2 linked regions of the Macaca fascicularis genome follow. The protein of the gene in region 1 binds, or shares a complex with, the protein of each later gene. Links are inferred from orthologs where the notes say so. Each region holds a gene or a part of one and is shown in the gene's direction. Other genes may lie near its edges.

Region 1 (4,580 bases):
TTTCTAAAAGTGAACTAATCAGAAGACATTCATGACCTAAGGAGAGCCCATAAATTTAATATGCGTTCACCATAAATTCTTCAAATGGAATTTTCAAACACGTTTGGCCAGGCACAGTATTTCATGCCTGTAATCCCAGCGCTTTGGGAGGCCGAGGCTGGTGGATCACCTGTCGTCAGGAGTTCGAGATCAGTTTGGCCAACATAGTGAAACACCCTCTCTACTAAAAATTCAAAAATTAGCCGGGCGTGGTGGTGCACACCTGTAGTTCCAGCTATTCAGGAGGCTGAGGCAGGAGAATCCTTTGAACCCGGGAGGTGGAGTTTGCACTGAGCACTCCAGCCTGGGTCACAGAGCAAGAGTCCACATCAAAACAAACTAAAACTAAATACATTGGACTTTATCAAAAGTATAAACTTCTGTTTCAAGATTGCTAAGGGAGTACATTTCAAGTGTTCTCACCACAAAAAAAAATAAGTATTCAAGGCAACAGATGTGTGTTTGTTAGCTTGATTTAACCATTTGACATTGTGTACATAGATCACACTGGACCCCACGAGAATATACAATTATAATTTGTCAATATACACACACACAAAAAAGCCAAGTGCAACTTCCGGATTGTGTAAAATAAGGGCACCCAACACACACACACACACACATACACACACACTGTCTCTCTCACACACTCATACACACACTCTGTCTCTCTCACAAACACACTCTCACACATACTCTCTCACACACACAGTCTCACACACTCTCACACACAGTCTCTCACACACACTGTCTCACACACATCCTCTCTCACACACTGTCTCTCTCACACACTCTCACACTCACACACAGTCTCTCACACTCTGTCTCACACACACTCTCACATGCACACACACTGTCTCACACACATCCTCTCTCACACACTGTCTCTCTCACACTCACACTCACACACAGTCTCTCACACTCTGTCTCACACACACTCTCACATGCACACACACTGTCTCACACACATTCTCTCTCACACACTGTCTCTGTCTTGAACACTCTCACACACACACATGCATTCTCTCTGTCTCTCACACACACACTGTCTCTGTCTTGCACATTCTTTCTCACACACACACTCTCACACACGCACTCTCTCTGTCTCTCACACACACTGTCTCTGTGTTGCACATTCTTTCACACACACACTCTCACACACATGCACTCTCTGTCTCTCTCACACACTGTCTCTGTTTTGCACGTTCTCACACACACTCTCTCACACACATGCACTCTCTCTGTCTCTCTCTCATACACACAGTCTCTGTCTTGCACATTCTTTCTCACACACTCTCTCCCACACACATGCACTCTCTCTGTCTCTCTCTCTCTCACACACACACACACACACATACACTAATTGCTCCGGGACAGCCAGCTGAAGGCTGTTAGCATCCGGGCACCCTGAGCGCAGGTGTGTGGGGGCAAGGCAGCCTCTTGGCAGCAGCAGCACCTGTAAATGGTGCACACAGGTGCAGAAAAGTGCCTGTTCCCTGGGGCTGGTCGTTCAGAGCCGGTTGCTGCCAATAGGCAGCAGCAACATCACGGGCTCAGCGCTCCCCAAGGATTATCGCCTCGTGGGCACGGAGCTGGGCGTGGCCGCCTTTTTTCTGTGATTGCCAGTTGGCCCAGCGCAGGACCTGCTCTTGGAGGCGAGGTGTGAAGTTGGTGAGTATTCCTCTTGTCTTGCTCCTTGTCCTTCCCGCTTTTGTTCTCCACTGCTGATTAGAACTTGCATATTGAGCTTACTAGGCGCCCCCACCCTCTCCCTTTTGGCTGCTCAAAGCCCGGGACCAAAGGGTTCCTCGAAAGAACAAAGTCCAGTTACCCCATTTTGCTGTAAAGATCTTCTCCTAAAACCTCATATTTACTTGGGATATTTAGGTAAGTCTCTCGTCCTTTCCAGACATTTGGTCTAAAATACAGTACAGAGGGCTGGGCACAGTGGCTCATACCTGTAAACCCAGCACTTCAGGAGGCCGAGGCAGGTGGATCATCTGAGGTCAGGAGTTCAAGACCAACCTGGCCAACATGGTGAAATCCTTGTCTCTAATAAAAATACAAAAATGAGCCGGGCGTGGTGGCAGGCGCCTATAATCCCACCTTCTAGGGAGGCTGAGGAAGGAGAATTGCTTGAACCCAGGAGGCAGAGGTTGCAGTGAGCCAGGGTCACGCCACTGCACTCTAGACTGGGTGACAGAGTGAGACTCCATCTCAAAAATAAATAGAATACAGAGTGGGGGTACTGCGACTTGAATGTCAGGGTTAGCAAATGTGTGCATTTAGTAGGAGTCTGGGGTGGGGGGTGTTACGGTGCTAATTGTGCTAATAATATGTTAACTGTAACTTAGTTACTGAAATGCCGTATAATTCTGACAGTGTTGTTTGTCCTGTTTACCAAGGGAGGAAGCTGAGCCCCAGAGAAATTAAATGTCTTGCCTGGGGCAGAAAGCGGCAAATCAATATTCAAAACTGGGTCTGAGACTTCCAGCCCTGTAATCTTAACTGCTTCTTATCATTCAGGACACCTGCGTAGAAAGGTGTGGTGGGAGAGGTCGGTCTGTAGAAAAAGCATAGCGACAAAGTGCGAGCTTAGGGAAGTCACTCATCCTCAGAAAATAACCTCAACCAGCAGCTTTCCTTTACCTCCTTCCGGCTGTAATCCTGCCTGGACTTGAAAAACTTCTCCCCAACTCCTCACCCACCTGACTTCACTCAGGAGAAAGTGACCATGCCTATCCCAAATTAATCCCTACACCATCCAGTCATCTTTCTCTGGGGCTTGATTAATCAGTTCAAGGGAAATACAGGGCGTTATCATCCCGTATGCATTAATGCACCTTCCCCTAAAACAGAGCAACCCAGTCAACATCACAGAACCTCAGCTTCGAACTCTGGAGTGAGGACGGCGATGCCCTTTGTATATTAATACGCCATGTAAGGCCGGGCGTGGTGGCTCACGCCTGTAACCCAGCACTGTGGGAGGTAGAGGCGGGCAGATTACCTGAGGTCAGGAGTTCGAGACCTGCCTGGCCAACATGGTGAAACTCCGCCTCTACTGAAAAAAAAAAAAAATTAGCTGAGTGTGGTGGACACCTGTAATCCCAGCTGCTCGGGAGGCTGAGGCAGGAGAATTGCTTGAACCTGGGAGGTGGAGGTTGCAGTGAGCTGAGATCACGCCACTGCACTTCAGCCTGGGCGACAGAGCAAGACTCCATGTCAAGAAGAAAAACTGTATCTGCTACATAAAGTTGAAATGAAATGCTTTGAGTCACCTAAGGCAGGATATAGACAAGAGTCTTTGTCATCTTGCTGCTTCTACCTTTATTCTCAGCTCTGAACGTATGAACTTGCTCAATCACCTCACCCTAAAAATAAAATCACCGTCCCCAGACCACACTCATTTCCTTACCCGCCCCTGAGGTTTTTGTTGGTTTTGACAGCCCTGGTTCACTTCTTGGTCCTCCAGCCCCTTCAAAGGATTGTGCAGTGTGGTAAGGCAAATGTTTAATTCAAATTATGTATATATAGAAGTGTTGACATATGACAGTCCGAAATTCATTCTCTCTTAAATAACCTTCCCCTCTTAATTTCATTGCCTGCATTGAGAGTCTTTGTCTTGTGTGTTTTGCTTTCAATTTCCATGTATCCAGGTGCTTTTTGTTAACTTAGAAGGGGTAGGAAAACCTAGAAAATGTTAATTGTTCTGTGGTTAGGATGTTAGCTTTTAAACAGGTGCTCAGAAATAAGTATTTTTCCGTTTACCAATGACCAACATGGTCCCTAAATATTTATAGGAATGTGTAGAAAAGCTTATTTTCTTGCTATGGTTCTATTTGGAGCAACACAGCACATAAACTTCAATGTTCTATCAGTGTTCACGTGTACCTAGGTTTTTGGCCTTCCATGAATGGGTACTGGTAAGAATACCTCTATTGTTTTGGTGAAATTCCTTTATGTCTACTTAGCTTCTACTAAAATGATTTTTTAATGGGAGGTACTTTTTAGTATTAATTTGGTGATTTGGGTTTTTTTGTGTGTGTGTGTGTGTGTGTGTGTTTTAAGATGGAGTCTCCGTCTGTCACCCAGGCTGGAGTACAGTTGCACAATCTCGGCTCACTGCAACCTTCACCTCCCGGATTCAAGCGATTCTCCTGCCTCAGCCTCCTGAGTAGCTGGGATTGCAGGTGCCCACAACCAAGCCTGGCTAATTTTTGTATTTTTAGTAGAGACTAGGTTTCACCATGTTGGCAGCGCTGGTCTCGAACTCCTGACCCAGGTGATCCACCCACTTCAGGCTCCCAAAGTTCTGGGATGTCAGGCATGAGCCACCGCGCCCAGCCTTTTTCAGTATTAATTTGAAAGCAGCAATACGAGAAGATGTGGTGTGAAGTGTGTCCTTCCCTGCCCCTCTTAGTGTCTCCTCCCTATTTTCTGCTCCTCACCCAAAGGCGTTGTGCGCGTGTGTGTGGTGTTGAGAGCCTTACAGGTGGGGCACCTTTCTGTGCTGATCCTTGTGCATTTTTAAGGACGCAGGG
Region 2 (3,770 bases), on another chromosome or scaffold:
ATTGCAACCTCTGCCTCCCACGTTCAAGCGATTCTCATGCCTCAGCTTTCGGAGTAGCTGGGATTACAGGCGCCAGTCAGCACGCCTGGCTAATTTTTGTATTTTTAGTAGAGAAAGGATTTCGCCATGTTGGCCAGGCTGCTCTAGAACTGCTGGCGTGAGCCACCGCATCCGGCTTTGCCCAGTTTTTAATGGGGTTGTTTTTTCTTGTTGTTTTGCAAAGTACTTTAATTGTCTCAATTAGCAAGTAAGAATTTCCCAACTACTAAATCATTCCTATATATTAAATATATTCGGCCGGCTGGGCGCGGCCTGAATATATACATTTGGTCTATTAATGTGGCAAACCTGAAGTTCTCTTTAGTGTTTCAATACTGAATAAAAATAAATTATAAATTATTATTTATCTTATAGCAACACAGTTAAAAGTTATTATTTTCACACTTTTTTTTTTTGTTTTGTTTTAGTAGAGGTGGAGTTTCACCGTGTTAGCCAGGATGGTCTCGATCTCCTGACCTCATGATCCACCCGCCTCAGCCTCCCAAGGTGCTAGGATTACAGGCGTGAGCCGCCGCACCTGGCTCAGTTATTATTATTTTTTGAGACAGGGTCTTACTCTGTCACCCCGCGGGGAGTGCAGAGGCACCATCACTGCTTACTGTAGCCTCAGCCTCTCTGGGATCAGGTGATTGTCCCACCTCAGCCTTCCCAGTAGCTGGGACTACAGGGGTGTGCAACTTCGCCCAGCTAATTTTTGTATTTTTTTTGTAGCGATAGGGTTTTATCATTTTGCCCAGGCCAGAAGGATTGCTTGAGACCAGCTTGGGCAACATAATGAACCCTTGTCAGAAAGAGAAGGGGAAAAGAAAGGAAAGGAAAAGGGAAAGGAGAAAGGAAAGGAAGGATGAGACAAATATAATTGTGTTATTTAGAGAACAGAGGCATCACTGGGCATGGTGTCAGAGGCTTGTAGTCCCTGCTACTGGGGCAGCTGAAGAGGGAGGATCTCTTGAGCCCAGGAGTTGGAGGCTGCAGTGAGCTATAATCACACCACTGCCCTCTAGCCTGGGTGACAGAGATCCTGTCTCCAATTTAAAAAATTAAAAATAAAAAAGAACAGAGATGTCAAAAATTTTCAAGGAATCTCCTCTGGTGTCCAAACCACGAGAACCATCTGTGGTTAGGTGTGTTCATTGCTGCATTAATTAAAAGCGCTTTATAGTCCCACCACTGGGGAGGCTAAAGAGGGAGGATTTTTTTCAGCCCTGGAGTTCAAAGCCAACCTGGGCAACATAGCCAGACCCCATAACTTTTTTTCTATCCCCCCCTTTTTTTTACTATGCAAATCTCACTACACAGACCCTATAGCAAAACAAAACAAAACAAAAAGGCGGGCGCTTATTCTGCTCTGTACTCAGCTGTCTCAGGCAAGTGACAGAATAATCTGAAAACCTGGTGCCAGAGGGAGAAAACGTAGTGGCCAGGGATCAGAAGCGAGTGAGGGACGTATGAAGTATTCATTCTGCAAGTATCAGTTCCTTCCTCTGGGAGAGATACTGGGCTTGTCCACGCCTTCCTGAGTCCATGGTTAAGACTCCCGCTGGGCACCAGCGGATTCCTGGTGCCCAGAGCCCGGTTCCTCCTACCGGGTGCGCTGGGGAAAGGGCTGCTCCTGACAGAAGAGACACTGAGAGCAACGCAGGAACCGGTGCACTTGCGCTGCCTCGGAAAAAGCCGGGGCTCCTGGAGGCGGAGGCGAGGCCTGGGACCCAATGAGAAGGGCGCGGTTGGAGAGGAGGGGCTGGCCAAAAGCACTTTAAATAAGGCCCAGGCGAAACCGCAGTTCTAGTCGCCTAGCTCCAGCTTGGCCTTTGGGTTTGCTGTGGTGGTCTTGTCTCCTGCAGGACCGGGCGCAGCATGGACACTCCCAGGCGGTTTCCGACGCTCGTGCAACTGATGCAGCCAAAAGCAATGCCAGTCGAGGTGCTTGGTCACCTTCCTAAGCGGTTCTCCTGGTTCCACTCTGAGTTCCTGAAGAATCCGAAGGTAGTTCGCCTGGAGGTTTGGCTGGTGGAAAAGATCTTCGGTGAGTGGAGCAAGGAGGGGCAGCCCCTATGCGGCTTCTTTCTGCCGCCCACACCCACATCCCACTGCGTTCCAGGGCAAGCCTCCCCAGTAGCCAATGCCCTCTGGCTGTCTCCTCCTTCCACTTTCCCCTCCCAAGACCCCCGGGAGCCACCCAACCCTCACAGCCTCTCTACTACCCGCGCAGGCAGGGACCGAGAACGCATCCCGCACGTCCAGGGTATGTCCCAAATCTTGATTCATGTGAATCGGTTGGACCCTAACGGCGAGGCTGAGATCTTGGTATTTGGGAGGCCTTCTTACCAGGAGGACACAATCAAGATGATCATGAACTTGGCTGACTATCACCGACAGCTCCAGGCGAAAGGTACGGGGCTGGGAATGGGGCTACCTGGAGCAAACCCTGGCTCCGTAGGAGTGATCCTGGGGTTTCCTGGCTGCTGGGGCTGCAGTCTCGCCCTCCCAGTCTGCCCCCGGTTAGTGGGTGGGAGACGGGGCGGTTGCCATGGATCCAGAAGGCCAAAGTGAACCCGCGTTCTGGGATTCCTGGTTCCTACTCCCGCAGGCCGCTTGGGTGACTGTCCTTTTTTGGAGAGGATATAGGGACACAGCTGTGGCCTCCGCACACTGCTCTTCTTTCAGGCTCAGGAAAGGCCCTCGCCCAGGATGTCGCCACTAAGAAGGCCGAGATCCAGCTGTCTTCAGCAGAAGTCCGGGAGGCCGGGACCCAGCGTTCGGTGGAGGTCCGGGAGGTCGGGACACAGGGTTCTCCGGTGGAGGTGCGGGAGACCGGGACCCAGCAGTCTCTCGAGGCTGCCAACCAGTCCGGGACCCAGCGATCCCCCGAAGCTGCCAGCAAGGCAGTGACCCAGCGGTTTCGCGAGGATACCCGGGCCCCAGTTACCAGATTATGAAGGCATCTCGGGCCCTGGAGCCAGAGCCAGTCAGGGGTTAAAGTGAAAGCCCGTACTTCGCCCAGAAGCTGCGGTTGGGAGGAGGATGATGTGGATTTTTTGTTTTACCCCTTCTGTTGAATGGTTGCAAACACAAACTTGAGTTCTAATAAAAAATTGCAAACTAGAAGCCGCCCCCTACTTCAGCCCCTGAAGCCGGGGTAAGGGTGGATGATGTGGATTGGTTTTTTTTACCCCTTCTGTTGAATGGCTGCAAACACAAACCTGAGTTCTAATAAATAATTGCAAAGTGGAAGCCCCCCGCTACTTTAGACCAGGAAGCCGGGGTGGCGGGGGAGGTTGACGTGGATTGTTTTTGTTTTACACCTTCTGTTGAGTGGTTGTCAACACAAACTTGAGTTCTGATAAACAATTGCATTTCCCTGACGTCTGTATTTTGGAAGGTAGAGGGGAGGGAAAGGCGTATTCCTCCAACAGCCCAGTTCTGCCCTGCGCCGCTCTTTACCTCGAGACAGGTGGGGCTTCTGGCTCCCAGCCGCCCGGGGTCGCAATCTTCCCTGGCTGTGGTCCGCTGTGCCACTTGTACTCCTTAACCGCGCGCATCTGGCTTTAACAGGTGAGAAGCTTCTCTGGCCCACTAGGAAACCTCTCCAAGCCCGCTGTGGTTCTACTCAAGGTGACTTGGGATGAGAAAACCGGGTCGCTTGGGGGCCAGCTGGATTTGGAAGGCCCTGCGTGTATGGCGACGCTGCCACAGAACACTTTCCCCGC

The links. Proteins that work in one complex are often made in the same cells at the same time.
Region 2: NLRP5 (region 1) and KHDC3L share a complex: the UniProt entries of both Homo sapiens proteins name them as parts of the subcortical maternal complex. The link is inferred for Macaca fascicularis from reciprocal best matches to the Homo sapiens genes NLRP5 and KHDC3L.

Annotation. Positions count from the first base shown.
Region 1 is NC_088393.1:63,954,425-63,959,004, forward strand, and holds the start of NLRP5 (NACHT, LRR and PYD domains-containing protein 5), read left to right. Parts: upstream 1-1,677; 5' UTR 1,678-1,710; intron 1,711-4,580. UniProt on the Homo sapiens protein: Component of the subcortical maternal complex (SCMC), a multiprotein complex that plays a key role in early embryonic development.
Region 2 is NC_088378.1:101,687,062-101,690,831, reverse strand, and holds KHDC3L (KH domain-containing protein 3), read left to right. Parts: upstream 1-1,845; 5' UTR 1,846-1,917; coding exon 1,918-2,086; intron 2,087-2,272; coding exon 2,273-2,452; intron 2,453-2,727; coding exon 2,728-2,999; 3' UTR 3,000-3,165; downstream 3,166-3,770. UniProt on the Homo sapiens protein: Component of the subcortical maternal complex (SCMC), a multiprotein complex that plays a key role in early embryonic development.